Linked DNA regions of Caenorhabditis elegans. The protein of the gene in region 1 interacts with the protein of each later gene in a pairwise test. Each region holds a gene or a part of one and is shown on either strand. Other genes may lie near its edges.

The links.
Region 2: the proteins of gldi-4 (region 1) and twnk-1 interact in a two-hybrid assay, tested with the Caenorhabditis elegans proteins (one large-scale study listed by BioGRID).
Region 3: the proteins of gldi-4 (region 1) and mtss-1 interact in a two-hybrid assay, tested with the Caenorhabditis elegans proteins (one large-scale study listed by BioGRID).

The regions. Positions count from the first base shown.
Region 1 is NC_003282.8:7,012,958-7,023,484, forward strand, and holds gldi-4 (ZZ-type domain-containing protein), read left to right. Parts: upstream 1-4,668; 5' UTR 4,669-4,707; coding exon 4,708-4,909; intron 4,910-5,517; coding exon 5,518-5,741; intron 5,742-5,792; coding exon 5,793-6,863; 3' UTR 6,864-6,877; intron 6,878-6,923; 3' UTR 6,924-7,253; downstream 7,254-10,527.
Region 2 is NC_003284.9:5,788,438-5,800,319, forward strand, and holds twnk-1 (SF4 helicase domain-containing protein), read left to right. Parts: upstream 1-4,893; coding exon 4,894-5,057; intron 5,058-5,160; exon of another isoform or gene 5,161-5,299; intron 5,300-5,368; exon of another isoform or gene 5,369-5,489; intron 5,490-5,558; coding exon 5,559-5,628; intron 5,629-5,673; coding exon 5,674-5,954; intron 5,955-6,000; coding exon 6,001-6,276; intron 6,277-6,412; coding exon 6,413-6,485; intron 6,486-6,533; coding exon 6,534-6,644; intron 6,645-6,694; coding exon 6,695-6,829; intron 6,830-6,885; coding exon 6,886-6,959; coding exon of another isoform or gene 6,960-6,986; intron 6,987-7,049; coding exon 7,050-7,103; intron 7,104-7,117; exon of another isoform or gene 7,118-7,261; intron 7,262-7,491; coding exon 7,492-7,624; intron 7,625-7,669; coding exon 7,670-7,795; intron 7,796-8,256; coding exon 8,257-8,469; intron 8,470-8,515; coding exon 8,516-8,620; downstream 8,621-11,882. Other genes in the region: F46G11.2 (uncharacterized protein), read left to right, coding at 536-633, 689-805, 861-953, 999-1,161, 1,217-1,313, 1,362-1,558, 1,600-1,815; F46G11.4 (Inner membrane protein), read right to left, coding at 8,984-9,049, 9,112-9,190, 10,262-10,320.
Region 3 is NC_003281.10:8,763,381-8,772,375, reverse strand, and holds mtss-1 (Single-stranded DNA-binding protein, mitochondrial), read right to left. Parts: upstream 4,066-8,995; 5' UTR 4,063-4,065; coding exon 3,970-4,062; intron 3,918-3,969; coding exon 3,853-3,917; intron 3,578-3,852; coding exon 3,223-3,577; 3' UTR 3,133-3,222; downstream 1-3,132. Other genes in the region: K02D10.3 (uncharacterized protein), read left to right, coding at 425-478, 524-628, 672-780, 993-1,042; K02D10.2 (uncharacterized protein), read left to right, coding at 1,151-1,252, 1,301-1,456, 1,504-1,620; Chondroitin sulfate synthase mig-22, read left to right, coding at 5,167-5,385, 5,436-5,735, 5,981-6,067, 6,115-6,227, 6,295-7,000, 7,081-7,233, 7,592-8,301, 8,359-8,485.

The DNA.
Region 1 (10,527 bases):
ATTTTTTGATTTCTAGTCATTTTTCCGTTATTTAGTATATATGTATAATTCTCTTTATCAGTTTCTTTAGTCATTAAATAAAACAGAAATCACCAGTTCTTTCGAATTCACTTCAAATATTTTTAATTTTAACAGAAACGCTCTTCTTTTTAATAGTTACAGAGTTTATAGTTTTCATTATTTTTTCTTTTTTCAGCTTCGTCTCCGGCAAACCCACACGTGAGCGATACCCTCTCTATGGGAGTAGCAGCGAGTGGAATGCCTCCGCCGAAGCGTCCTGCTCCGGCGGAGAGCCCGACTCTCCCCGGCGAAACTCTCGTTGATGCGCCAGGAATTCCGCTGAAAGAAGCACTAAAAGAAGCGGCAAATTCGAAAATTGTTATTTTCTATAACAGTTCAGATGAGGAAAAGCAATTAGTGGAGTTCGAGACCTATTTGAATTCATTGAAAGAACCTGCTGATGCCGAGAAACCCCTGGAAATTCCGGAAATAAAAAAGTTACAAGTCTCTCGAGCTTCACAAAAAGTAATTCAATATCTGACTCTTCACACTTCGTGGCCTCTAATGTATATCAAAGGAAATGCTGTTGGTGGTCTCAAAGAACTTAAAGCTCTGAAGCAGGATTATTTGAAAGAATGGCTTCGTGATCATACCTACGACCTGATTGTCATTGGAGGAGGATCTGGAGGTCTTGCAGCAGCGAAAGAAGCTTCTCGATTAGGCAAAAAAGTCGCATGTCTGGATTTTGTGAAACCATCACCACAAGGAACATCTTGGGGATTAGGAGGAACTTGTGTGAATGTCGGTTGTATTCCAAAGAAATTGATGCATCAAGCAAGTCTTTTGGGTCATTCTATTCGTGAGTATAAATATTATTTCTAATTATAACATAAAGTTATTAACATTTTACAGATGACGCGAAGAAATATGGTTGGAAACTACCGGAAGGGAAAGTTGAGCATCAATGGAATCATTTGCGTGATTCTGTTCAAGATCATATCGCTTCTTTGAATTGGGGTTACCGTGTGCAATTGAGAGAAAAGACGGTAAGCTTTAAGAGATTGAAAATATTCTGAATTCATGTTTATTAATGTTATCCTAGTTTTCAGGTTACGTATATCAATTCCTACGGAGAGTTCACTGGACCATTTGAAATTTCTGCGACAAATAAAAAGAAGAAAGTTGAAAAACTCACTGCTGATCGCTTCTTAATCTCCACTGGTCTTCGTCCTAAATATCCGGAAATTCCTGGAGTGAAAGAGTACACTATAACTAGCGATGATTTGTTCCAACTTCCATATTCTCCTGGAAAAACCTTGTGTGTTGGTGCTTCGTACGTCTCATTGGAATGTGCTGGATTTTTGCACGGTTTTGGATTTGATGTTACGGTGAGTGTAAAAAACGAATTTGGAGTTAAAAAAATAATTTCAAATTCAGAAAAGCCACAATTTTATTGTTTTTTTTAATCTTAAACAAAAAAATTGGTTGTCAACTTCCTTTTTTAAATCCCAAAAATTTAATTTCTGATTTTTTAGGTTATGGTTCGTTCTATTCTACTTCGTGGATTTGATCAAGATATGGCTGAACGAATTCGTAAGCATATGATCGCCTACGGCATGAAATTCGAAGCAGGAGTCCCGACAAGAATCGAGCAAATCGACGAAAAAACTGACGAAAAAGCTGGAAAGTATCGAGTATTTTGGCCGAAAAAGAACGAAGAAACCGGAGAAATGCAAGAAGTTTCGGAGGAATATAACACGATTCTGATGGCAATTGGAAGGGAAGCCGTAACTGATGATGTTGGTCTTACAACGATTGGTGTCGAAAGAGCAAAGAGCAAGAAAGTACTGGGAAGACGTGAGCAGTCGACAACAATTCCATGGGTTTATGCAATTGGTGACGTTTTGGAGGGAACACCTGAATTGACTCCAGTTGCTATTCAAGCTGGAAGAGTTTTAATGAGACGAATTTTCGATGGAGCAAATGAATTGGTTTGTGAACTTTCAAAAATGTGGATTTAATATTTCCTTAAAGTTCGCACAACTCCTGAATGCCCAAATATCACTAAAGAAAAACCTTTAAAAAATCATTGAATTGGAAAAAAATCGCTTTGAATTACCGCGCTATTGCTGCTCTTTGGTTTTTCTCAATTTTGACGTAAATTATTTTTTGTGCCTCAAATTTTCAAGCAAAAAAGGTTTTATGTCTATAAAAACATTTACTTTATGCCAAAAATTTATCTACAATTTCCAATTACAACAATTACTTGCGTCGTGTGATGTATGATGATAATTCGAAAAAAACCATTTTCTATAATTTTTGTATTTTAGATAAAAAGGAAATGCTTTTATAGACAAAAAGCCTTTATTCACTTGAAAATTAGGAACAATTAGGTAATTCAAAGGAGTAATTTATTGACAATAAAAAAGTTTATCAAAGTTAATTAGCAATTTTTAAAATTTTTATTTTGTGTTATCTCAGCATTTAGATCCAGTCTGTGTGTTTAAATTGAAATCCACATCGGCGCTATTCCATCTTTAAAATAATAAAATTGTATATTTTCTAAAAGTTTAATTTCAAACATTTTCAGACGGAATACGATCAAATCCCAACAACAGTCTTCACTCCTCTCGAATATGGTTGCTGTGGACTATCGGAGGAAGATGCAATGATGAAATATGGAAAGGATAACATTATAATCTATCACAATGTATTCAATCCACTGGAATATACGATTTCAGAAAGAATGGATAAGGACCATTGCTATCTGAAGATGATTTGTTTGAGAAATGAAGAGGTAATAATAAAAAGTGAAATAAGTTAAACTAATATCCGATTTTTTAGGAAAAAGTTGTGGGCTTCCACATTCTCACTCCAAATGCTGGTGAAGTGACACAAGGATTCGGAATCGCGTTGAAATTGGCTGCAAAGAAAGCAGATTTTGATCGTCTCATTGGAATTCATCCAACTGTCGCGGAGAACTTCACCACGTTGACTCTTGAAAAGAAGGAAGGAGATGAGGAATTACAAGCTTCTGGTTGCTGAGGTTAAGAAGGGTCCAATTTGGGGGAGAATTTGGGTTTTGGAATGAAATGAACATTGATTTTATTTAGGATCTCTTTTTTAAAATATGAATTCAAAAAAAAAAACAAATAAACCTAAAATCTCAATGTCATTTTATTTCATCACCTACTCTCTTCAAAATTGGACCGTCGGTGGTCGCTAGTAGAGGCAGCTTTGTGACGACCTTTGGCTAAACTCCATCGTGAGCGCCTCTGGTCTGATGCGCCTCCAAAACGTCCACCACCCCTGATGATTTGTTTATTATAGTTTGCATTGTATTTTCGAATCTTCAGGGTTGTTTGTTCTTGACAATTGCCAATTTTTCTAAGCGAAAAGTTTGATTTAATTTTATTCTACTTGGCAATTTTCAAAAACGAACAATTATTCTCTTATCCAGTGTTTAAGTATGTCCTCTCACTTTTTTTTCAATTTCAATCCCGTACTTCTTCCCTATTTTTGGGTAAATCCAAGCCTTTTTCACTCTCTCTCTTAAATGCAATATTGTTTGGTCATTTTACCTTTTATTGTATGTGTTGTAAAAATAAATTGTATTTTACACCGAAAAATGTCCAATTCAGTGATATCATTATGCATGCACATCTTCCGCGTACGACAGCTTTTCCGCGTGATTTTCTGTGTTTTCTCTGTTTCTAGGCGCTCTCCAAATTTACTTTATATTTTTCCAAAATTCTATCTCGTTTTTGAATACACATATGTAAAACCGAAATAGAATGAAAAATTGGGAGACGGAGAGAGGAAACGAAAACAGAGAGAGAAAGAGACGGAGAGGAGAAAAGGCAAATGAAGGTTGCAATCTGTTTTTACACTTTATATTTAGTCTTTGTTCATTTCGAAATTAAACGCAGGCAGGCGCAGGCGGCCGATTGGAATTTCACGTCAATCCTTCCAAACTAGGTGCTTTTGGTAAATCCTGATTTTCTCTGTGCACAGAAGTTAAATTGTTGTTTATAAACTTCATTTTCTACCAAAAATTAACAAATCTGTAAATATTTGCCCCTATAACGATAATTTTAACAGAGATCGCGGCGAGACCCTCTCAAAAAACAGCGTGTGCCTTTGAACTGTCGCCGAAAAATTATTGTAAATTGTGATTCGTCATTTTGCAAGATGAGTCACTTTGAATAAAATCGTTTCAGCAAAAATGGGGGAATTTTTTACGGGAGAAAAAAAGTCCACAGATTCTCCAGTTATGGTTCATTTCTAATAATAATAGCCCAAACTTAATACCTCATAATCCAATTGACCCTTGTACCCCCGGACAAGTGGGCACACGCTTATCGATTTCTATTTCGAGGTACCACTCATTTCCGCGCGGGGAACACTTTTGTCTCTGAGTCTCCTACTTCTCCTTGCTCTTTTCCCAAACGTTCTTGGCAGAAGAACCTCTATGCATATATATCTTCAATGTTTATAATGCCATTTTCTGTTAGGTTTATAAATATCTTACTCGCAACCTCTCTCTAAAAAACAGGCAAAGAAATTATGCGAAATAGAAATTGCACACTGTTTCAAAATATGTATTAATGTTTCCTTAATTTTTCTCTCATATTGAACTATTTCTAGAACTTCGATAAATAATTCCAGAAACTTGGTATAACTTGATAACTTCCAATTGTCATCCCAATGATACCTTTGTGCCGTGAACATAACAAAACATGCCGTGTCAAGGTTAACTATCATTGGCGTGTATACAATGAGGATATCAACAAGAATGCTGTATTGGAACTCTCATGTCAATGTCAAGTCCTCGATCAACTCAGAAAAACGTTCGTCGAGTTGGGATCTTCCACCATCCATTCGGCTGCTGATTTTGAGTTTAGCTGCAGTAAGTTTTTTTTTAAATGAAATTTAGATGCACAGTGCCTGCGCGAATTTCATTGGTTATTTTAGGTTTTCCAGATACTATTCGAGTTGTTCAAAATAGTATAACACAATAATCAATATGTCCAACAAAATTTGATCAACTGAAAAATTATAATTATGAAAAATTGAATTTTATCTACGCTTCCGTTTTTCTATGAAAAGAAGTTACATCGGCTGACAAGATTTTTGAAGCATTTGGATGTGATTTGACCTGTCTAAAAATTGAGTTTTTGATGTTTCAAAACTATTGTTGTTGCACACACAGTTGACAAAAAACAAAGTAGAACAATAGAGGTTATAGGGAAAATATATCGTTTTATCAAATTTAATCTGAACCCAACCGCAGGTTGCTGTAACTTTTTCCAAAGAATTTATGATAATTTGTTTGATAACATAATTTTAGAAATCGTTAAGAGCAAAATTTTGTTAGTTGAAAATTTTCAAATCTAAATGAGCTAGTATTTGAGTTGTGCTCACTTTAAATAGAAACTACAAAAAAAGAAATACGAATAGAGTTTCAGCTGGCACTATATAAAATGTCAGTCATCTTATACCAGATATGATTTTCAGTTACCAAGGATGGCCCTGTAGTTCTGTCCAGTGGCTATGAGATCTACAACAACATTCGCCCGGAATTGAGCTTTTATCATTCTCAACTTCCTCAGCTATTTCTTCATGTCAGAATCTTGGATGTCTCGGTAATTGCCAAGTTGGATGATTTGGGTCGGACTGTGAATGAATGTAAGGCAACGATGAAATCTGACAAGGCATGGAGAGTTATGAAGGATACTGAGGTATTATTTTTCTGATTCGTTTCCCTTGTTTCTAAAAGAAAACTATATTAGATTGCTGAAGGACAACTCTCACTTCAAGAGCTTCTAGACAAGCAACAACTGGAAATCAAATCTCTTCAAAAGGATATTTCCGAAATGAAGCTTGAGAATCAGTGTCGCAAAAAAGAAGACAAAAACTCCTTCAAAAACAAGGAAGTTCACGAGGCTTCATGTGATAAGTGCCAAGATTTGATTATTGGGCATCGATTCAAGTGTGCTATATGCTACAACTACGATTTGTGCGAAACATGTGAAGCTGCCGGAGTTCATGCTCAGCATGCATTGATTCGATTGGTGTCAGAAAATACTTTGTTCCCCGAACATTTGATTGTCAAAAACCCAGAGGAGGTAAAAGATCAAAACGGTCAAGTTCAAGCAATTGCTTCTTCTCGTGACAGAGCTATCCAGGTTCCTTTGAGGAGATTGGGCATAACCCCTCAAGCCATCGCAACAAAGAACAATGTCTCGAGATATTTGAATGCACAAAGTGATCGAAACATTATTGAGGACCCATGGTATGCTCAGCACATGTCTAGCAGGAAACCGCAAACTTATGAAAGAATGCATCCAAAACTGAAAGATACAACTGATGGTAAAAAAGTTCAAAAAGTTTCTTTCCGCGATCGCTTTTACAAGAAAGCAGAATCTAGCCTCGATAAACACGAAAAGCAACTTCGATTCGATCTTTCGGCTTCACGTCAAGAATTCATCAGAGAAAAGGAAAAGTTCAGAGTTGAAAAGGAAACGCTCATGAAACAAAAGGAACAAATTGAAGAGATGATGAAGCAAGAAACTATAAACTTCGAAACGAATAGGGCTTTCTTTTCGGATCGTTTTGAACCGATTTTTAATAAAGTCAAAGATGGAAAGAAAAGCGAAGATGATACTACAAGAAAAGTCGAATTTGAAGTTGAAACTGCTGAGAGCAACTATCCCGGATCTATTTTTTCGGATGAAGATTCTTTGAGTGATCTTGCTGAAATTCTCAAAGACATTGAAGAATATGAGTGTTCGTCTGAGAGCTCTGATGACCAAGAGAAAGACGATTTTGATGTCGTTGAGGAAGAGGCTAAACAATCTTAAACGTATTGTTGAATGTGAGTTATCATCCCTTGGTTCAAAGATATTTATCAACAATTTCAGATAACAAAAACAGAGGATTCAACTTCCATCTTGTACTCTCAACCAGCACTGTAATTCCAATTCAAAAGGACTTTCCAAACGATAATATGCATTTCAATATTCTCATGAATCCTCCAAATATTTAAAAAATTGTTCAAATTGTTCATAACAACTTTCTTATCAAATCAGAAAACTCAGACTGTTTTGCAGAATTGCAAAAATTCAAATATCTAAATTTTTCCATTGTACTGTCTTATCTTTATTTTTTTATTTTTTCTGAAGTCTAAAATTGTAATTTTCCAATTTTGTGAATCTTTTCATTTCGCATTAATAAAATAAATTGAAAATCAGAATTTAGCTTGCCAATATACATAAGAATAGTGAGACAGGGGAGGATAAAAAATTAAAAAAAAAAAAGAATCTTTAATTGTAAAGTCTGTAAACTTTATGAATTCATTTTTAGATTCAAAATTAAAAAATCAGATCTTAAAAAAATGTAAATGTCAAACAAACCTTCTAAAACGACATACGTTTCTACTATTATCCAGAAGATTAATTTCGCGAGTTTCGTCCCAAAAGTACGGTACCGGGTCTCGACACGACAAAAATCGATGAAAATTCTGCTGCAATGAATTTTTGAAGTTACTGTATAAAAGGCGCACATCCGTTTTTCTGGGAGTTTTGTTTGACATCTAGATACTTTTTAGATTTGATTTTAATAGTCGTTTCAAAAAATATCCAGTGCAATGTATCTAAAAGGATTGTTTTTGCAATAGATCCTCGGTTGAACTTTTGTTTTAAAACGAATTGTTCCAGACACACCTTGTTGACTTGAAAATATTTGTCCTTTTTTTTCAAAATAAACTTTGTACTTCTTTTCGTGTCTTTCTGAAATTTTCCATCTATTAATCAGATTGATAAGCTGGGAAAATATATTATTTTCATGTCGTCTGCCAGGTGTCATGTGTGTTTGACACGAGATAACACATGAAAACATGAAGGTCATTCAGTCGTTTTCATTCGAAATCGACGAGACCAAAGGTTTTGTGGCAGAGTTTTACTCGTACCAGAGACATTTTTGTACTCTAAGAAATCAAAGAACTTTTCAAGATGTTCTCCCTCGGCTTTTGTTGTGTACTGGGTCCCAAAAGCACCATTTGTTTCATAAATTTATTTGTTTTCATTCATTCATTTTCGACTTTCTGATCCGAACACTAAAAAAGGAAAACATGTACCCAAACAAATGCAACCCTTGTCTTCTCTTTTTCTTTTTATTTTTTTTGTGCTCGAGAGACGAAAGTGACAAAAAAGAGAAGAATAACATGAAGAGACAAAATATTTACGACTTGAATAAGGAGTTCGAGGAATGTTTTTCCACTTTTAGCTCGTTCTAACGTTGCCACATATACTTGTAATTGTCGTTTAGTTTCTGAAAAAGAGCAATTTTTGTAGAAAGTGTGGGAAACTCTGGATTTAAACTTTAAAAGTTATCTGGAATTACTGGCTAATATGTGTATTTCGTGAAAGTGTTCCTGCGAAAGTATTTCATCAAAAATGACCACTCTTGAAAAGCAAATTTTAACAATTTCAAGCCCGTTGAAAAGTGAATCTAGTTTTCTTTGCCAACTTTACATTAATTTTACTTATTCGGAAAACATATAAGCCATGCAAACGTTACATTATTCCACTTTACTTTTTATTCCCTCTTTTGTAGTCTAATATTTGAATATGCTTACCATGGTCTTTCTAATAGTATTGCATCCAACTTGTCAAAGTGAAACAATGTGGTGCAATACTAATTGATGAAATACGGTATATTAGGCATTTCACCCGGACGAGGCAGTATGGGAAATTCAATTTCACGTACATGATTATTTGTGAAGGCCGAACTTTTAGCTTGAACTTGTGGTTACTTTATTCCTAATCAGATTACAAGATTAGGATAATCTTATCATTTTAAATTTATTCGATAGTTTTCTTCGCTTCGAGATGGTTTGGTGGATGTGGTGGTTGATTTTTCTTGTCATATGGATTATGTTGATTATAATTGGAAACGGTGAGATCGATCAAAATGAGTTTTTACAAATCTAAAAATATATTGTTGACAACGCTCCATAATTATATTATGAAACGGACCACAAATCTGACGTGCGAGGCTGTAAATTTCAGTGGATAATTGAATTTCATTTCGGGTGACCAAAAAATTCAAAGGAAGCTAAAATATGTGTCTATTGTCTGGAAAAGTTTCTGGATTGGGTGGAAAAGTTTCGAATATTAAATTGAAATCGAATTTTCATGTGAAAGTAAAGTAACTTGATACTTTGAAAGCTTTTCACTACATTTTTTGTTTCAAAACATAAATAGTCGGCAAAGTTTTCGATATTAGATATCTGCTTCTAGTCTTTTTTTGCGTTGTTTTAAATTCAGCCTACAAATTGAAACAAATCAGCATGAAACCTTATTGTTATTTTCTCCGTGCCGTCACTTCTCAGAATACGAGAATTGACATCAACTAATCCCAGACTTTTCATGTTTTCTCGTCATTTTTCTTGTTTTTCTGCTGTTACGCATTCTCCTGTTGTATTTTGTCGTTAAACTCCTGTTCTGTTTTAAACTTTTTTTCCATTTTTAGTCGCTCATAGTGGACTTTTCAGGACAGTTTTTGTAGCGCAGAAACAAAAATTACTTTGTAAACTTTGATATTAGACCATAATATCTATTTGAAAAATAGAAATTAACTACAAGGTCAATCAACGATTAGCTCCGGTTTTTCTGAATCAATTAGAGCTGTGCCAATTTGTTGATTGGTTCAGAGGTATACGAAGCTAATGCTGATTGGTCTTGCAGTTCGCAGTTTGGAAATTTGAAAATAGAGCCAAGGAATAAGGAGGTACAAATAGCAATATTTTGAAATGTATCTTTGCTTCCTGATTTTTTTTTCCCTTCTGGTTCTGCAAATACATCATGAGTTTGAACTATTTAGAAAATACCTAAACTAGTCTATTTGAGAACTTTATTGTTTTACAACTTCCTTTTTTGATACTTTGAACTTCATATTTCCATCTTCCGTATTGCTCTTTTCAAAGAGCTCTCTCATTATTTTGACTAAATTACCCTTTTTAGGCCAGCCACATTGAGCTGGGTTTGAAAAGGTTTTTGAACCATTAGAATTGTCTTTCTCTCTCGTTATGTACCATCAATTATTTATAATATAAACCTCCTTCTCTTATCCACACATAACCTCACATTTTCGGTCATCTCTCCGGTCACGAGAGGCGATGACCATCTGCTCATGGCCCCTTTTTCTCGTCAATGTCTCTGCGTTTCCTATGATTCCATACACTCTCTCTTTCATTGCTGGTTTTTGTTTGTATCTCTAAGTCTGATATATTTCACTTCAATGCATTGGGTCTCACTTTTCGGTGGGTTTGGTATTATTTATTTTATGACGAGAGTGGATGAGCGCTTGTTCTCACTTTTGGTAACACGTTGAGCTTTTCAATGACGTTATCTACATTCCAGCTAGTAACTTTGAGATTCTAATATTTACTCAAAAGAACCGAAAAACGAAGACCCATCACAAATTGGGAGGTGCTACAAGTTGTGCCAACTTACGCACGACTGA
Region 2 (11,882 bases), on another chromosome or scaffold:
AACTGATCGAATTAGGTGATATAAATTGAATCACCAATATTGCCTGTAAGCTTCTTTGCAAGCTTAAACGGTGAGGTAAAACAATCTGGGAATTCGATTTTTAAACCCAAAATAGCTAGAAACCTCCGAATTTTGTAATGAGACGTACTCAAAATTCCTCAGAATTACTGAAGGCGGTTATAAGTACTGAAAAAATGACTGTTTTAAAATCTCCAATTTTGCAAACTTGACAAAATCAGAGCCTAAATCAAAAAACAGGACGTAATTACAAAATTACGCAATAAAAACTTACATCCACAAATGGTCGCGCAAAATTTCTAGTAAATCGAGTAAAATTTGAGATTTTAGTGAAAATTTACATTTTATTCAAAATTTAGAACCGCCATACCGTTTTTGAAAAAAATTTCAGAACGTCTTATCACGAAATTCAGTAGTTTTGAGCATTCTGAACTTTCCAATGCTTCAAAAATTTTGAAAATGACATACGCGAGCACGCGTAAAAATTAGTTCCAAATAATACATTGAAATTTTAAAGGACGCTCCAACTCAAGATGATATGCGCGACTCATCAATTTTGGGATCACACTCGAGAACTGCGTTAGATGATGTACCACTTTGCAAGGGGAATAGCAAGTAAGTAATTCGAATGTTTTGGAACTTTCATTTTTTTTTATTTTGGGAATTTCAGTATTTGCCGATTCATTTCGTGTTCTGCTGAAAACTTCAAAAAAGATCCGACATTTGGCAATATACAACTTGCTGCTCAAATACTTGGAGATGCTAAGCTTAGAAAAACTATCAGCAGGTACGGTTGTGCAAACAAAAAAACAAATATAATAAAGTGTAAATCAAATTTCCAGTAACTCTGATGCAGTTCACGCTGTATGCAAAGAACAAGGCATGGATGATGCGCAGTGTAAATTATTTTCCAAGGGATTCCAATTGATTGATAAGTATGTTAGCTTTAACATTGAAACTTATAGAAAAAATAAGTTCAGGTTCATGACATCTATTGAAAAGCCAACAGATGCAAAAGGCGGTGCACCTCCATCCACAGAACCACCAGTGACATCGATCCCCGATTTTGATGAGCCTACTGATGATGAGCCTCAAAAACCAATGATGGACGATCCTGCACAATTACAAGACGATGATAATAGAGTATGGTTTTCTTTTTCTCATTTTAGAACAATGAGAATATTATTAACAATTTCAGAAGCGCTGGGCGGATTATGATACCCCATCTATTACCCCGGTGATTCCCGTGCAAACAGCACACGGATCCAAAACGTGGAGTAGCAACCCTGAGACAAGTATGTTTATTTCAAGTAAGCTTTTCATTATATTTAAAATATTTACAGAATCATTACAACCGCTGGAAATCAGAAATGATCTTGTCTCTAGCTGGACTCAAATGCCATTTTTCGCGCCTCCAACTATTCCACCAGCCCCGCCGCTTGCTTTCAAATCTGTGCCTTCACTAATTTTACAACCGATTCAAGCACCACAGTTGGAGAATGGAATATTCTTCTCGACAGATAAATTCAATTTCCTCAAGGTGAATAACAACTTGAATTTTTAAAATCTAAATTTTTTCAGGACTTCAATCCGATCAAGCGATTCAGACGATCTCCTGATTACTACGATCAGATCGACGAAAAGAAGAAACCTTCAAAAACTTCTGATTCATCTAAAAAATCGTCTGGCAATACTGATGATTACTATGGAAACTTTGATAGTGACATAGATGAGAAAGATGAAATTGAAACCACCGGTCTGAAACAGTGCGTCCATTTTCTGGGACTTGGTGTATAGATCTTATCCACATATGTACAGTTTTTCTATCATTTCTTATTTTTTAAAATTTCAGTTGTTTGATTGACGGGTGTAATAAATCAAGATTCTTTTGAAATGAAAAACTTACTGAACGCAAAATTGGAAAAAAGAAATACTCTGGTTAATGGTCCTGTTTGGAAAATGTGTGATTTGATTTGGACAATAGGGCAAATTTGCATATCGATGTTTTTTTCCAAATCTGTTAGTGGAAGAACTGACTAATTGACACATTGTGACTGTATGTATATAAAAATTTTGATACTTCTGGTTTTTAAGTTTGGTTATGAGCACGTAACTGTAAACAGTTTTCTCATTCGGCAATATTCTATTTTTGAAAGAAAAACATTTTTTAACACTTTAAATAAAATTTAATGGCTGAAACTTTCGTTGTAAATAAATGTTGACAATTGGTGAAATAGTTCAATTCGAAAAAGTTTTGAAACAGAAAACTTATTTTTTAAAAAATCTCTAATTGCCTTTGGGATCACAAATGAATAGAAATTATTGAATTGAATCAGAAAAAGAAACAATTGAATTTTCCGAGTTTGAAATACAATTTTTGCGAACATTTTAAGAAGTGCAATCTCTTGAAGGAAATAACTTATAATTAAAAAGCTCAATGATTTACAGTAAAACGGTTTTTGAAAGAGAACTTTATCAAGCTGTTCTTTTCAAAAAATTTGACAGCAACATATTTTTTGAATACCTAGACTTGTCGTAGTTTGGTGTTTCCTGCTACACGGCGAGCCAGCAATTTTCCTGCCATCGAGCCCCCACACCGAGTCCAACGGTCGCAGACAATCTTGTACACGTGTGACCCATGGAGCGTAAAAAAGTAACAGTAGACTAGGAAGTGCGGTTGAGAACAAACAAGGAGCGGCATTCAGAGGAATCCTGAAAGTGCAGACGTTGCTTCTTCTTCGATTCCCAATCTAAGTCCTTCCATCCCTTGATGCATACTATTAAAAGAAAAAGGAAAGGTATGTGACGGGTTCATTGTTAGTCGTAAGAAGTGTACCAATTTGGGTATACCAATTCGTGCCAATCCAACGGGAAAAATAATAGAACGATGATGGTCGGGAGATGTTGGAGTAAAAAGAGAAGGAGGAGGAGGAAGACGGAATGTATACTTTTGAGATGATGGATATACATTGTGGGATGGAGTATAAAAATTGTTTGGTACGTGCAATCATAGCTGGGCTCCGTCCCTGCTCAAACGATTGTACATTTCCTTCCGTCTCGAAAGGTGTATCTGTCGACAATACAAGTAATTGAGCTTCCTTCTCTTATCCCATTCGACCCCACCCCCATCATTCCGTCCTATGAGACATTTTCTTGTCTTAGTCTTTAGACGACAACTGGCAACTATTCCCTAGTTTTTTTTTCCAATTTTAGATCTCCTTGAAACATCTTTTTTTATTTTTTCCAGGTACCTTGTCAAAAACCATTAGCAAACTGCAGCTCAAAACCATGGAAGACGAAGTAAGTCTTAGAAATGGTACTGTATTTTTCAAATTTTTTTCAGCTCGACTCGGATCTCTACGATCGTGTGAGCTATTTGAATTTGATGGACAAAATCGATACTCGGAAGAAGACATCGAAAGTGGGAAAGTTCCGCGATGAGTAAGTCCAGTTTTTGTCATGTTTTCCAGAAACATGCACATAAGTGACTTCCGGGAGAAGAAGTCTTTTTTGTTTGCTTAATAGTGTGCCAAGCAGTTGTCATATTCGGTTTTCATGGAAGTTTCGGTTTTCACGTTTTTTAATGATGTTGTGCTGTTTTTATATTCATTGGTTGATAGTTTCTGATTTTGAAATTTTGTTTGAAAATTTCCAAAATGTGAATCTGTAACTGTGAGGAAGTATAATTTTAATTTGTATTCCCCCAGAATATACTTTTTCAAAAAATACTGTTGCCTCAGAAAATAGCCAAACCTAACAAAAGTAAACCGGTTCACTTCGTTCCAAAAAAAATTTATTTTTCGTAATATCTAAAGATATATAAGACGAGAAGAGGAGAAAAACAATGAAAGCACTTGGGGCACCTCGATTTAGTGAGCCACCAAAAATCCAGGAAGCCTTTAACGCTGCCCCAACATAAAAGCGAGTCTGAACGAGGAGGTTGAGGAGGAGAAGCAGCACACAAAAAAGTCGAAGATAGCTTTCTATTTAAGAGCATTTTTGCTCCACCAAACCTTCACTCAACCATAGGATTATTGCTCGAAAAAGTGAGGTGTACGGCGTCGGTGCCCCCGCCAACCTTTTTTCTCTCTCGCCCCGTTGCTCCGAACCACCCCGATTAACCCGAGGTCAATTTCACTTGCACTTGAATTGATTCGATCCGAACTCTGATTCAAGTTGCAACTTACTTGTCTATTTCATTTGCTGGTTTTTTCAAATCTATTACTGTACAATGCATCGCTCAAAGTCCCGACCGGTATCTAGGATGTCAAAAAAATCGTATTTATATTCAAGCTCAGACGAAGATAATGGGTATCCAGTCGGTATGTCTTTAAGCATTCTATTTGCGTTTCCCTTGTGCTAATATGCTTTTAAAAAATTTGGAAACGGATGCAGTTTTTTTGTTGGAAAACACCTGAAATTTTCCCGAATTACTAGTTCCGCCACCATGTTTTTATTTTTACACCGCGCAGACTTGTCGAATCTAACAACTTTTGCCAAAACGTCTCTAGCCAGCAATTGTGAGGGCTCCTGCCAAATAAGCTGTGTAATTGTCGAATATCATAAAGAATGGGGGCCAAAGGACGAGCACAATAGCATTTTTTAGGGTGGGGGGAACTATTATTGTTTGCGGGGTGCCTCTCCTGCGCATTTTTCTGTTTTGTACCCATCGTGACTGGTTTGTAAACATCAGAACCTTTCACTTCTGGCACTTTTTCCGGCTGCTCAAGTTCCTGGCACCCCATTCATTCAGCTTTTCCCCCACTTCTAATAATATCGCGTCGAATTCTAGAAAATCAGTTCCATCAAGCACCATCCTCGTCCAGTAGTGGATTTTTACCACCATTGAACTCTAAAGCAGTGTCATGGATTGATATGGATGACTATACAATTCTGCCAAGCCCCGACGAAGCTCCATTTGATCACAGCGACGACGAATATTTCACCGGAAGACGACTACGGCAGAGAAAAGCACCCCGGACGGGAAGATCGGTGACAGCGTCTGAATCGATGAATCAGATTGCAGACTTTGATTTCAGGTTTAGAAAGTGTTGAGTGTTGCATCCTGTGCTTATGTTAATCTTATTTAATTTCACATACGCTTTTTTTGAATATTGATGAAATCGTTTTTACCGAGCTCAAGCAAAATTGAATGCAAAATTGAATCTTAATTTTGAAGGCTCTAAAAGAGGGTGTTAACTTATAAGATGGATTTCAAAAAGCAAATTCCATCGTAAAAGTTTTTTGAACATTTTGCAAAAGAGTTGATATTAGGATTATTGCTGTAAGTTGCATATCTCTCGCTTTTTGTTCATTATTTAGATATAATTGCAGTTACCAATCTTAGTTTAGCCATATTTTTAGATCGTTTGAGCCCCCCTCGAAATATTTGAAAAGTATTCAAAAGGTCTTATTACGTAATTTGACACTTGGATTCATTTTCAGTCGAGTATCTTCGATATGAACTTTAATTGAAATATGAACATAATTTTTGACTGAGCTCAATTTAACATAAATAAATTCATTTGGTTCGTTTTCAGTTCTGACGCGCCTTCTCCAAGACTTGACGCTTCAGAAGCCATGAGTGCTCCTCCAGATCCGGATATCAAGGTTCGAATTTTTTTTCACTCCCAAAAAAGCTTTTTCCGTTTTCAGCGCTACTGGGACAGCAGTTTAGACATAACTGATCTGAGTGGCCACGATTTCACTATTTTCAAGCAACTCCAAGGGATGCTTGGAATTGAGAACATTTCATTCGAAACTCTTGCTCGTTTCAACGTTCGTGTCCAAACCGACACCTATGGTCAACCTGCCATTCTTTTTCCACGGTATCGTGGAATGACTTCCCGGCTACGCATTCCAATGGGTTTGAAGTTGATCCGTAAAGTTGGAGACAGAATGGAAAAGGAGAACTATCCACTGCCAGATGAAACTTCGTAAGTAGAAATTCCGATGTCTTCCTTCATAGTTACCCATTTCCAGCGTTCGCCAAAAGTTCAATGGAGTTTTCGGGCTTCATATGGCAACTCTGTCAGATCGAAGTGTAGTCATTACCACAAATGAGCGTGATGCTTTGGCGATCTACGAAGCCACCAAAGCTCTGGTATTTGCTCTACCACATGGAGAAATTTTGGATCCACTCGTGCTTCCGTATCTGGAGGAATTTGACAAGATCTATCTGTGGTTCCCGGTTCAGCATGTCAGTTATGCCAAAGACTGGGGAAGTGCTTTGAACACCCTCAAATGTCTTCTTGTGAAGTGAGTTTATGGTATTCAGTAGGACTATCATGGAAGGCGCGGATTGCGGCGTAAGACAGGTGGCGTTCCGGAGCCTGCTTGGAAGCCCTAGTATATAGAGAACGTTCGGAAAACAAAACCAAAAGAGTAAGTTCAGAAACGAAGAACGCCCAATTGAATTGGTTCGTAATGGTGATCATCGGCTCATTCGGAACTCACTATCTAACTCGGTACTGTTGCCATTTTGTTCTTGTTTTTTTTCAACTTTCATAGTTTAGGTGGTTCGAATGAGAGAGCGTGGTTTCCGTTCAATGACAGATTTAGACATGCGTGAAGGAATCCGTTCAGACCTTCTCAACTCGACAAATCGCGTTGTTGGATTTGGACAAGTAAGACGAAAGGAAAAAAGATAAATTTCGGTCTAAATAATTTGTTTCAGTGGAAACGATTTGCTGTTTTGAATAAGTATCTTGGCGGGCTTCGGCCAGGGGAGATGACAGTTTTAACCGGAGGAACCGGCAACGGAAAAACTACATTTTTATGTGAATACTCATTGGATCTATTTACTCAAGGGGTATTTTAAATTTTAGCATTAGCTGAGTTTTTCTAATATCTCTGGTTTAATTCTAGGTGCGCACGCTGTTCTGCAGTTTCGAGATGCCTGAAAAGAAGATCCTCCATTGGATGCTTGTGCAATACGCTGGGTATGATGATCTAGTGTTTTTTCTATTGTTATTCTATTTTATTTTTCAATGGCTTGCAACTTTTTAACTAACATTTGTTTTTGTCTGCAGTCCTTCACATCTTCGAAGCCTCGCGCGCACTAACTCATATAAAAATGGCATCAAGTAAGAATATTTAGAAGTATTAGGATCTATCTGGAATAGTTTTTGTTTTTTCTAAATTGGTTTTTGAATATAATAAGTGAATCAAAAACTATTTCAATAATTTCCTTATGAAACCAGTAGCCAACTAGACCTGTTATTTATTTTATTTTACCACCTCACAGTTTTGAGTTGTAGAACATCTTCATTTCTCATTCACTGCTCATTTTGGTTACTAGCTAGTGCTTTTCGTGGTGCGCGAGGCAATTGTCGATTATCTTGAAAGTGTGTTTTTGCACGGTAGTTTGTTCAAGGAAACGGAAATGGGTATGTGGATGAGTGTTGGCATGCTTATTCTGATTGTGCCCAGACATCCGTAGCCCATACACAACTCCCAATCAATCTGGTTCAGACTTCCGCTGCATCGAGTAGAGTATAGCAACTCGATAAATTCATGGTTGGATAGATTCGAGAGATCGAGTTCGGCGTTGACAATGCTTGACTCCGAAGAGTTCATGGAGAAGTCCATAAATGAAATAGTCAGAGTAATAATAGTGGAGCAGGGTTTGAATCATAAAATACCATTTTAGGCAATTCGTATTCACGTTGAAAACAGTGGTATCCAACATGTTGTCATCGATAATCTCCAGTTTTTGATTAACCAAGGAATGATGGCAGATGAGAAGTCAAGTGGCCTTGATAGATTCCACCTTCAGGTTATTTCTTTTTACATCAACTTACAGTTTTGGTTCATAAACTAACATTACAAGAAATGGGAACATTTGGTTTAGTAGGAGAAAAACTACAGTGCGCCCAATTGCTGGGACCCCCCTTCCATTTGAGCGGTTTAGGGCATTTTGGAACTTTTTAATAGGAAAATAATATGGGAATCGGATTCAGCATTACAAAAAACCTCTGTGTCAACAATTGTATTCGGATATCCCAAAAATTGGGAGCAAAATGGCAAAAAGTTGAAAAATCGACCGCCCAACTGCTATCAAGAGGGTGTTTTTCTGGACCTCGTAAATATTATGACACTTCTCCAAAAAAACATTAACCAGTTTGTTGAGTATCATTACAAAATTTGTTCATATTTTGAAAATATATGTACATGCAAAAACCCAAAACCCTTAGTCCTCCTCTAAACATATAAATCTTCTTGAACCTTCGTTTTCAGGATCGATTTGTCGGATACATGCGTCAACTTGCTACTCAGAATCAAATTCACATCACTATGGTTGTTCATCCCAGAAAAACTGACGGTGATACTGAAATTGATGTGCAACACTTTGGAGGTTCCGCCAGAGTCACCCAGGAAGCTGATAATGTCATTGCTATTCAGCGGAAGCGTGATGATCGTGACCGTTCCAAGTTCCGAAAATTCTTATACGTAAGCTTCTAGTAGAATGATATGACCATCCAGGATTCTATTACAGATTCTGAAAAACCGCTACTATGGCCGACGAGTGGAGAGCGATCAACTTGAGATGGTTTTCAACCCATCCACCTATTCTCATACAGTTGTAGAGTTTCCAAAGTAAAATTTTCTTCTTAATCAAATTAATTTTACAATTTCTCCAAGTTTTTCGAGTGTCATTATTCAGTTCTATTTTTTAAATATATTTTTCTGCTTTTTCCTTTCTCCCTATTACGCTGATACTTGATGAAGAAATATACCTTTTCTCCTGACCCATTTCATCCACCTTCTCCCTCCGTAGGTCACATATTATTCTGACGTCTTTCCCTATTTTGTCCGATCTCGAAAACACTACCGCGAAAACACAAAGCTTCTGTAGTTTGCAAATAAATAAATTTTTCATTACTCGACGATGAGAATAAAAAAATGTTGAATGAAAGCGAAATTGGAAATCAAGAATCGAAAACAAAAAATTAATCAAAATTTGTCACATGTTTTTTCGTGGAGGTGCAGGATGAGGCGGAGCAGATGTGGGAAGTATCCGAATTTGTGGCTGTAATTTTTTTTTGTAAAAAATTAAAGGTTTTCTTTTAAATATTAACAACTTGCACTTACAATTGGAACATAATCACAGACGGTTTCATTGTTATCATGACCAACGGCAAATACTGTCAGCCCGAGAAGAATTACTATTCTGGAAAAAAAAAACATTTGAATATTTGAACAGCTCTAGAAAAACGACAAGAAGCTTGAATAAGTGGCAATTCTGACGAAGATATGTGCTAAGCCGTTACATAATTCATTGAGTTTGCGTGTGTTTAGTTTTGAGAAGCTGTCAAAAAGCGTTTTCAGGAAACAAATTTATTCAAAAAATGGGCGTTGGCAATTTATTTTTGGCTGGAAAAATTTCAAAAAATGGAAAATTTCGAGTTTTCAATGTTTGAAGTTATATGGAATTTGTTAAAAAGCGCTTTTGTGGGGAAAAATTTTAACAAAACGTTTAAAAAATTGTCTGTATTTTTAAAAAATTTACTGTCAAAAAAAAAGTGGTTTGAAAATTTGGCAAATTACCAAAACTCTGAAAACTTGTAGAGATGTTGCTTTATCATCATATCATCGTTATGATAATTTTGGGGCAATTTGAATAGGTATTTATTTTTAATATTAGAACATCATATTATGAGCCATTCTCCAAGAAATTTCTAGTTTTCAAAAGGACATTATTCTTGACCAGAGCGATTAAACAGTTAATTTGCGAAACTGTGTGTATTTGTAAAAAATACAAAGTTACACAGTTTTTTTTTTTAATTTTGAAAATGGTTTTGACAATTTTCTGAAAATTGTATCAGCTTCAAAAAGTTATTCAACAAAGATCAATTAACACACAATGACAAGGAATGGGGTTTATCTCACGAAAGTTAGCTCAAATTTAAAAGCACTTTTACAACCCTTCAGAGTAGCGAAAAATACATTGAAAAATATTCATTTTTTTGGTTCATTTTTCTTGTTCAAAATTTTTCATTTGCTGCTGAATTTTTCGTTGAAACTTGTTTAAACTGTCCTTTCAATTGGCAAAGACTTAGTTAGATCGGAAATCGAAAAAAAATTTGCTGAAGTGCTTTTCTTGTGAGCACTAAACGTTTGTAATTTCTCAAAATGTTTTGTTTCGAATTCATACGCAATGGACAAAAATAAAAAGTTTAATTGACTGTTTAGCATTTTTGTGTTTCAAAAATTCATATAGTTTAGTAAGTAAAAAACTTACATGGCCAATGCAAGTAAGAACGGTTGGTTAAATCCGAGTTGAGAAATAACGGCACCCATCAAGTTGGTTTATTATGCATCATTCAACCAATTCTGAATAAGTGATCAATTGTGGAATTACTCATAAATCTCAGCAATGTCGTAAATCTTGAGGTAAGTAGAATGGGACAAAAAAAGAAAGATAGACAATAAGTTTGGCACTATACCAAAAAAAGAAAGGTAATAAAACTGAAAGCAAAACGTACGGAAATCGACTGGAAAAATACGAGAGAAAAGTGCAGGCTTGGAACAAGATCATATTACATGGTAATACGCAGATGCGATTCGGTGAGGTCTTTTGAAAGATGGAGGAAATGGGTATAAATTTGATGAAACTTGATGAAAATTGTGTAAACGTAACAAAGAAAGAGATGGGAAAAGTTTTGAAGGAAAAGAAGAATTAATTGTTTACGTTGAAACACGCATTCAAACAAAAATAAAAGTTGGGAAAAACGGAAAGCGGTCCCCGATAGACGGGAAGCCAATCTAATGTGTTTATAAATGGAAAATGGAAAGGACCCTGTGCGCGTTGGTGAGTTGCCAAAACCTTCGGAAGTGAAAAAGGACAAAAAGGTAGAAAAGAGGGGAAAAGAGACACAAAAAAGTGTACGAGAGCAGCGGCAAAGTGGCTAGAGAGTCAGAGAAATTTGATTTATTTTAAGTGAAAGCTTGCGCAACTCTTTCAGCAGCGGGATTATTGAAAATCGCGCTAATTAGATGAGCTCTCACCTCTCTTTCTCAGGCCGTGAAGAATGTGAAGCTCATCCTTCATAAATGCTCGTTCGCGTAATGCACATGTCAGATTAGTTGATGTCAGCTTTGAGAGAAAAGAACTCATGAGGGAAATGTGTCAATAACGGGCGAGAAAAATATTAATAGAAAACGGGAGCATCTATCAAAAACATGACAGATTAGAAAAAGTTCGAAGACAGAGTAATAAATATTTTAATTTTATGACAAATCATTTTCAAAAAATAGCCTGAATTTGTATTAATTTGCTATTAAAAACTCAGAATTTATCTATCATAATTTTTTCTATTATTTTTGATGTTCATATTTGAATTGAAAATTCACAATTTTTATCTAGAAATTGTAAGCATTTGAACATGTAAAACTTTTCAAAATTACTTGAAAAACTAAAATATTCTAATAATTTGGATTTTTATGTGTATTTAGAATAGATCGGCACTATCTTACCTTTAATAATATTTGTTCAGTTTTTTTTACAAAAAATGTTAAAAAATGAATGTTTGAAAATTCGGGGGGTTATTTTAAAAGTAAACTTGAAACTTTTATTATTAAAAATTGAAATTAAAAATTTTGAAAACAAATTATTTAAAGTGCCCAATCAAAGGAAGTTTTGCTAAAATAATTTACCGTATTTCTTCAATTAATATTGCAATTCTATTGTTAAACTTTGCCAGTTTATATCTCAGTTGTCGCTTGTTTAATTTCAAACTGGAAAAAATTGTTTTTTTTATCGTTTTTATGTATATTGTTTATTGATATCTTCGAAGTGATAGAGGGATGCAATACTAGTAGCAAAAATACGGTAGGTTTCGAGTAATCAGTACCGAGAGTTA
Region 3 (8,995 bases), on another chromosome or scaffold:
CTCTTATAGGATTCTACGCCTCATCCCGCTACGAAGCCTGGCAAATCAGATATTTTCTAGTCTACGTGTTGGTTAAATGTCTGATAGTTTATTAAGTTCATTAAAAAAGTTTAGTTAATTTACATACAAAATAAATAATTATAACGTAACCTTCCCTCCTCTTTCCATTTGGTGGGTATATAAGGTGTGAAAATATGGGAAAACGTTCAGTCTGTCAATGCTTCTCTGTGACTTCTCCTTGTTCTTAATCTTCGGAGCTTTTATTGTCTCTTGCACTGTCAAGAAACAGAAGAGATCGTGAGTTTATAGGAATTTCAGGAATTAAGTTCACAGGTTTTATTTCCAGAGCTCGTCATAAACACAAAAAAAAATGATAAAGAAAACTGAAGTGAAGAACTGTGCACTTGTCAATAATCGAGTAGAAATGGAGGAAGTTGGAGGAAATGGAGGACCCGCACGCATCGCAGAATGCGGGAAGGTTTAAATTTTATTATTTATTATCAAAAACCCTAATTTTTTTCAGATCGGTTCCGGTACAATAAACTCGAATGTCGTGCCTTCCGTCAACCTTCCGTCACCTTCCGTCAAACCTTCCGTCACACCTTCCGTCAAAAAGCCTCCGCATGTGGTGGGAATTCAAAAATTTACATAAACTAATGAACATTTTTCAGATTAGATCAGACTACTCGAAGCCTCGTGAAAAGCCAGCAAAAGTTGCAAAGAAACCAACAGTTAAAAATGATAAGAAGCCAAAGCCGGTAGCAATCGTCGCTCCAACAGGTTGGTTTTCCAAAAAAAAAATCTAATTCCCTCCTCTTTCCATTTGGTGGATATATAAGGTGTGAAAATATGAAAAACGTTCATTCTTAGGATGATGATCCTCGATATCACTTTCCTGCTCGTCCTTGCTGGAATGCTATTTTGCGCCTAAAAAAAAACAAAAGTGAGTTTATAGGAATTTCAGGAATTAAGTTCACAGGTTTTATTTTCAGGAATCATAAAAACGTTCAAAACCACACCAAACCCAAATCGAAACTTATAAAGAAACATAAGAAACAACAAAAAGAAAAAAAAGAAAAAAAAAGAAGGAGGAAAAAGAGATAAGCGTGTTCCAAAGAAACGATCAAAGAAATCCAATACGGCCGAGGAAATGGAAAAAAACGAGCTTAAAGTAATACGTGGAAAACCAGAACAACAGAAAATGGACATTTCAACGGTGGAGGTGAAAAACAATAACATTGAAAAGCTCAAAGTAGTTCAAATTTTAATATTTATTATCAAAAACCCTAATTTTTTTCAGATCGGTTGCGAAGCAAAGAAAACTACCGACCGAGTGGAGAATAGTGGCAATGGAACCGGATCAATTAGTGCTCCGCTTACGGACTTAGGTCCTTCAATTGGTGATTCACATGAGAACAAGGGGGCTGACATTCCCATCCATCCACCACTCGATACAGTAAGTTTTAAATCTTAATTTTCATATTGAAATAAATGAGTTTTCAGCAATCTCACGCCAAAGATGATGATTGGTACGACATCTTAGTCATAACAGCTGACTACGAATTTCCAAAGAACCCAGCAAATGAAGATGTGAAAGAAGAGAGAACTCAAGGGGATTGAATGAAAATTTAGATGAAATTGGTATTAATAAGAGAACTGGGGTCGATGTTATATGAGTAGTGTTCGGGTGTTCTACGCTCCCGCAAGCAACTTTCACACCCGTAAGCCTAAGTGCAGTAATAAGGTCTCCGATCCCTCAATCCCCCACGTCTTTCAATTCACCGCGTCTTTCAATCCCCGTGTCTCTCGATCCCCCAGCTCGCGGAGCCAGCTCCATGAGTCAACTCTTTCGAACCAACATATCGTACAGTTTCTAAGCAAGAATGGACATGACTTCTTAAGAAAAACCGGTTTATAGTGATTGACGGAAGTATTGAAACAGCGGAAGACACAACCAGAACCGGTTTGAGGTAGATTGGTATGTTATCTGACAGTTTCTAAACAGAAAAAATGGTGTAACTTTAACAGGAAAAATTAGTTTCAATGCCAACTTGTGTCAATTTTTATAATTTTTCAAAGTTTTCTTCGGAAAATCAATTAGTACGGCTAACATCTAACAGTTGTGATAATATCATACAAACAGATATTTGAGAATATGTATCCGTTTATTATGCAAATATGATGTGAAAAAATGAAATGTACATTAAATGTGTTTTGACAAAAAATTAATGTACATTTCATTTTTACCCAATCGTATCAAATTACTTCGAACTTTTACTGCTTTTTAGAGATTGATTATAGAGTACATGAACATTTTTTTGAGTATGGACATGTTTTTTAGTAAACATTCAAGCCCAGTGTATACATTTTCACATGATCACCTTAGCTTATGATAATACAGTACCTAGAATTATATTTATCGTATGACAAATTACTCGAATCCTCTATGATGTGTCCACAAAATATTGCTGATTTTGCAAATACGGGTGCAAGACTATTAGAGACTGCAATACTAATGGAAATACGGTATATCTAAAGATTTATGATGGCATAGATTTTTTAATCTAGTTTTTGGTTTGGAAATTTATTTAGAAAGTATCTTACAATTTTTAGGAATTTGGAATACATGATAAACAACATCTCAATAGAAAAATAGTGGAGGAAAAAAACAATTCGGAAGAATATAGAAATTTTAAAAAATAACATGATTTCAAATATAATTATTTGCACGTAATGCATAACCAAAAAACAATCACATACCTGACAGCAGTGGAAAAGGCGATCTGCCGAGGTGCAGAGACAATCAAGCGCTGTCCAGATCGGTTCATGGTTTCCCAATTCTACAAAAAAATCGATTAAATCGTGTGAAACTGCTTCAACAATTTAAAACATTGGCTCAAAGTGCCCGAGAGAAAACAAGAAAAAGGGAGGGATATTGTGTTGTTTCGGAGGAACAACTGGCGAGAGACGGAATGATGAGGAAAAAACGAAAAATCAATATTTTGACAGTGTAGTGAATTCCGATTCTTATCAAAAGTTGATTTAGCTGAACTTTCAAAGAACGATCAGATAATAAATATGGTTAGAAAACCAGGTATGCAATCAAATAAAACTTTTTTTTTTAAATATGAGATAATGTTTAATCAGGTAAATAACTCGTCAACAAAAACAACAACAATGGTCTATTATCGGAGATTCTAAATATTTAAAAAATTTTGAAAATTAATGTTGATCTGGATTCTCTCTAGCTGCTCGAGCCAATGGTTGAACAGTTTGAGCGATGATGTAGGTGTTGCGTTGTGTACGGTTTCCTTGTTCGTCCTTCTGTCCTCCAGAATAATGAAGTCTCCCCTGAACCATAAGACGGGATCCTTTCTTGATGGTTTTTGAAAGGATTTCGGCTTGCTTTCCGAAAACTGAAACGGCGTGACGTTCAGTTTGATCGAGAGTAGTTCCGTCTTGCTGCTTGAAGTACGAGTTGGTGATGATATTGAAGATGAGGTAAGGTTTTCCGTTCCTTCCAGTCTTGTACAATGGATCCAAGGCGACTCCTCCGACTAGTTCCACTTTATTCACACTGAAATAGTGATAATAAATAAATTTTGAATCGATATGATCTGAATTCAAAATTTGTTTTTTTATGCTTTCAAAATTGAAATTGTATCTTTCACAGCTATTTTACAACAATATTCGAACGACTTTTTAATAAGTAATTTTTATTGTCAATCGTTGCGTTTGTGCTTTTGAAAATTGTGACATTTTATTTTTTCTAGCAGGAACTTTGATACAAATTATTAATCTCCTAGTTCAGAAAAATGCAAGTTTAACATTTGTGTAAAACTCATATCATACCTGTATGCATGCCGTCTTTGTTCTGGGTTATGATGTTGTGGTTTTTCAGCGAACAAGTCATCAACCTGAAACAGACAAAAATTTCATAATTGCACAATTCGCTGTTTTTCAACTTACCTCTTGCTTGCTCGGTTGCTCAGCAGCCATTTTGGATGTCAATGACATACAGCGGACGGTAGACTTGGAGATCGTGGAAAGTGAACGAAGCATTTTCTATAATTTTGGTTTATCGATTGAGCAAAATATGAGTTATTTTTAAAAATTCAATATTAAATGTTCAACGAAAAGATTTAAACATAGTATATACATTTTACAAATAAAAACGGGCTCAAAACAACTGTTAAATATGGAAAAGCAAAAATAAAATTGCATTTTTTGTGGGCGGAGTTGAATCGCGCACTGTTGCAAGCCTGGCACGCGATTTCCGCAAACACGCCGCACAGTTTACTCAGTGTTTCTCTCGCTTTTCTCTTGTCATCGGTTTATTTTTATTTTTTAAGTTTCACTGCAAAAAACCACTTTATTTCTACAATTTTATTGATTCAAACCAATAAAATTTATCAAAATTCCGTTAAATTCAAAATCTTATTTCGGATTTTCCTATATTTGATTGTTATTAGATGTTCATTCTAAAACTACTAAAAAGATATTCATAATTCCAATGTATATGTTATTTTAATTATTCCCACGAATTATCTGTCATATTTCGAACTTAATTTCCTAATTCAATTAAAATTGAGATAAAATCTTGAAAATTAAGAAATTAGAAAAACATTCTCAAAATAGCATGTTATTAACGGTTTCACTGTCCTCGAACATTAAATTTTCTAAAATGACCTTAGTTAGTCAGGTCAAGTACAGAACATAATGTCTGCGTCTCTTTCAACTCAAGACTATCTCTTCAAACACCTTCTTACAACGTCGGCGTCGATCACAGCCTCTTCTCGTTTTTTTTGTCTTCCGTCTGCATCGCATACCGAAGAAGGTTGTCGCTCCACTCACATGTCCTGCAATCATTTTACGAGCATTGTCACACACATCTTCTATGACGACTGTTTTGCATTCATTCATAAACCCGTATTGTCTTTTCACGCTTTTCTTTGATCAGTTAACCTGTGTTCTGCTCATTCATGCTCAAACATCACTATTTGCTCTTGTTCACTTCACTTTCTTATTGTAAATTTTCAGAGCTTCTTCACAAGAAAACTTCGTTATTGGAATTGTATCAAGGCGTATTGCTGACTGTTTGGTACGTTTTTCACCGGCTTTGAAAAAAAGTTTAATAATTCTCTATTCCTTTTTTAGAATCGAAGAATGGTCGGCGGCGGTCGAACAGGCATACACTTGCTTCTTGGATTCCTTATAGGTGCCGCTCTCGCGCTCTTCTTCTTTTCATCCACACCAAGTATAGACTTGACCAGCTCATTGGCTGCATTTACATCATGTCAGAATCAAGAAACAGAAACGAATGTTCTTGAACCATCGGCACTGGAGAAAGGGCGAGTATATAAAGATTTATCTGAGCATTGGATTGTGAGTAGCTTTAAAAAAAACACAAAATTTCATGAAAGAATCAAATTTAGGTTCACCAAGACGATATGCCAGCGCCTCCTCATAATCAAGACGCTACTCCAAAGGTTACAAGAACTCGATTTGCAGCCACTGAACTCGGTACACGTGAACGAGTTATGGCCGCAGTGATGGCTGAGTCTGCATTGGCTCTTTCTATTAATGCAACTCTTGGGCGCCATGTTCCACGTGTACATTTGTTTGCTGACTCTTCAAGAATCGACAATGACTTGGCCCAGTTAACCAATTTGAGTCCATATAAACTAAACGGACAAAAGACGCATTCGATGGTTTTGGGTCTCCTTTTCAATATGGTTAGTTGAGTTGTTCAAAAATGTTTTTTTATGTAGTTGTCAACTACTCGTATTTCAAAAAAAAAAGTCATAAAACTATTTCAGAATCAATTATAATTGTCAATTGAATGTTTTTCAGTAAGTTTACCCCATGTTGTAAAGTCGATTTTGGTGTAAAAATTCCCCTGTTCAGAGTATCTCAATTGTTCTTTTTGGCTTCTTCCTGTCGGAGTTGCATTTCCTGATTAAAAATAAAATGTTTTCAGACAGTCCACAACAACTATGACTGGTTTCTACTTGCCAAAGATTCGACGTATATCAACCCATTCGTTTTGCTCAGAATGATTGATACGGTATTTTATCCAGTAATTGTTTTTGTAAAATAGTTGTTAATTGTCAGATGAATTGGAATGAACCAGTTGTGATGGGTGAAGCAGCTGAAGATGGAAGTGGACGATGCCGATTGGATACTGGAATGTTGCTCAGTCAGCCAGCAATGCATGCTCTGATGAAGTAAGCTTTAAATCAAAATTTTCACATTATGATAAACTGAAAAGTGTTTTAAACTGAATATTTTCAGCAATCGGAATGCTTGCAACAATTTCGCACTGGCAGCCGATGACGATCAACTCGCATTTGAAAAGTGCATTCAAATCGCAACAAATTTGACATGTAAGCCGCTTCATCAAGGAGTTCGTTATGAAGTTTGGCGAGGAGCCGAGAGAGCTGATTCGCCAGCTGCTCATGACTCGATTGAGGACTGGAAACATTCACCAGCATTTAAGAGAGCTCTTGCTGTGCCAAGATTACTTTCTGATGCAGATGCATCTGCACTTCATGATTATTTCGTTCGAGTTGAAATGCAAAGAGCTGATCGAGAAATTATCAAAATGGAAGCTGAACTTTCTCGTCTGGCTGAGCAAGAAGCTCGTGAAACAGGAGAAGCTATCAGCTGGCCACCAGCACTTCCACCGTATGCAAAACCACCAAATCGGTATCAAGTTTCGACTTGGGAGTACTTTACGATGACTGAACTCTTTCGAAGTGAACCTAATCAAAATGTTCGACGTCTTGAAGGAAAAGATTTCGATGATGTTGCTGAAGTTGTGGTGGCTGCTCGGCAGCAAGTTGAATCAGAAGAACCAGAGCTTGAATTTGTTCAATTGAGAAATGGATATCGAGTTTTTGATCCACGGAGAGGAATGGATTATATGGTTGATTTGACATATCGAAAGACTGTCAATGAAATGCCTGAAGTTGATAATCGATTTGAAAGTGATAATGAGGTAAATAAAAGTTCTAGAATATCTAAATCTAAATCTGAAACAGATTTTCTGAAAGTTTATAAATTTGTTTACAATCTCAGGCTGCACATGAGGAAAGTCTCAAAGAGATTGTTGTGGAAAGAAGAGTGCACGTTAGTCGAATGATTGCAAGTACGCAGCTTATGAACCAGGCACCATATGTGAAAGAAGACACAGATGTCACTGTCGTTATTCCAGTTGCTAGTGAAAAAGACGTTAGTTTTATAAAATTGAAAACCACAAAGAGAAGGGATTGTCGAAAAATGTTTATAAAATTTCGATTTTTCAAAAATAAAAAAAATGTTTTAACAAAAACTCAATTTTAAAAAAAATTGTTTATGTTGATAGAAAAATCATGAGAAAAATATACTTTTATTATTTTTAAAAAATATCCAAAATTTAAAGCTATTTTCGAAATATTTTAGTGTAAAATCGAAAATCAACATCTTTGATTAGAACTTATATATTGTTGAACATACAAAAAGTGTTTTTCTAAAGGTTTTTCAAAAAAAAATTGGTTCCCATTTTTAATTGTTTTGATATAAACAAATTGAAAATATGTATATATTGTAGGTTCTCCCAGCCCGGAAACTTCTTGCCAGACAAGCTCGCCTCTGTCTCTTCCCCACAGAAGAAGCCCGTAAAACTCGAATGGTTGTAGCCGTTTTCCCATTAATCGAATCTCGTTCAGTGACTGCTATCACTAATGATATGGAAGAATTAAAGCGACGATGCAAGCGATCACTTTTGGAAACAGATGTTCTTCCAGTACATCCTGCTGTTAGTACAGAAGGAAAGGGAACAGCTGCTGCTGCTGCGTTGGATGATGCTGTGGATCGATACGGAGCCAATACAATCTATCTTCTACTTTCTCCACATGCAGATGTTCAAAAAGAGTTCTTTGATCGAGCTCGTATCAATACGATTAAACATTATCAAGTTTTCTTCCCAGTTCCATTTGTTGAATATCATCCGACAATCTCTGGAATGGAAATGACAGAAAAAGAAGAAAAAGAGACGCCGACAGAACAAGCTCGTGAAGCTGCTTTATCACGATTAAGAGATGGAGTTGAACCAAAAAGGAAAAGAACATTGATTGTACAAAAAGAACATGGACGATTTGATTCTCAAGATTTCTCTTGTTTCGCCGTTTATGGTGTGGATTATGTGACAGCAAGAGCTAAATTCGGTCAAAATGAGAGACGGAACGACTTGATTTCTGCGTTCTTGGGACAAGATTCTATACATGTACTTAGGGCTGTTGAGCCAACTCTCCGAATTCGGTAAGATCGCCAAATTTTGTGTTGTTCCAGTGTTATTAATTAATGAATTACTTACAGATATCACAAAAGAAGCTGTGACATGGAAAGCATCGACACCGAAGATATCGCTCGTTGCCTGGACAGTAAAAAGGAAAACGTGGCGGCGAAGGATCAGTTGGCAAAATTGTTATTCCACGAAAAATGAACACCCTTCTACTCCCAACTTGTCCATGATATTTCTGCAAATACGGTTTCCTATTTTCCCTTTCTCACCTTCCTATTGCACTACAATTTTCACTTTGCCCTCTTGCTCCGAGCATAACATTTTCTTTTCATGTGAATACGATAATCCCGGCGGTTTTTCATTAAATAATTTTTAGCCCGCTTGCCACAACCCGATGCTTTATCCCCGTCGTCAAATAATTCATTTTTTACAGTTTATGTTAAATTGTGCCACATTTTTTAATTCACTAAACAAAGTACATACTATCTCGACCCGTCCACTTTTTCTATAATTTATGAATATCTGTGATTTTTAATCATAAATTTTTGTTTTGATTTTCTTGAAGAACAGTGCTTGTCAAAAAAAATCAAATTTCGCAGGCCTTGCAACATGATTTTAAAACAAAATATTTTGTTTAAAAGGAAGTTGGGCTATTCTTTTTTAAATTGTCGCAAAACTTAATATTTTACTACATTTTCTTTTTTTTTCTTT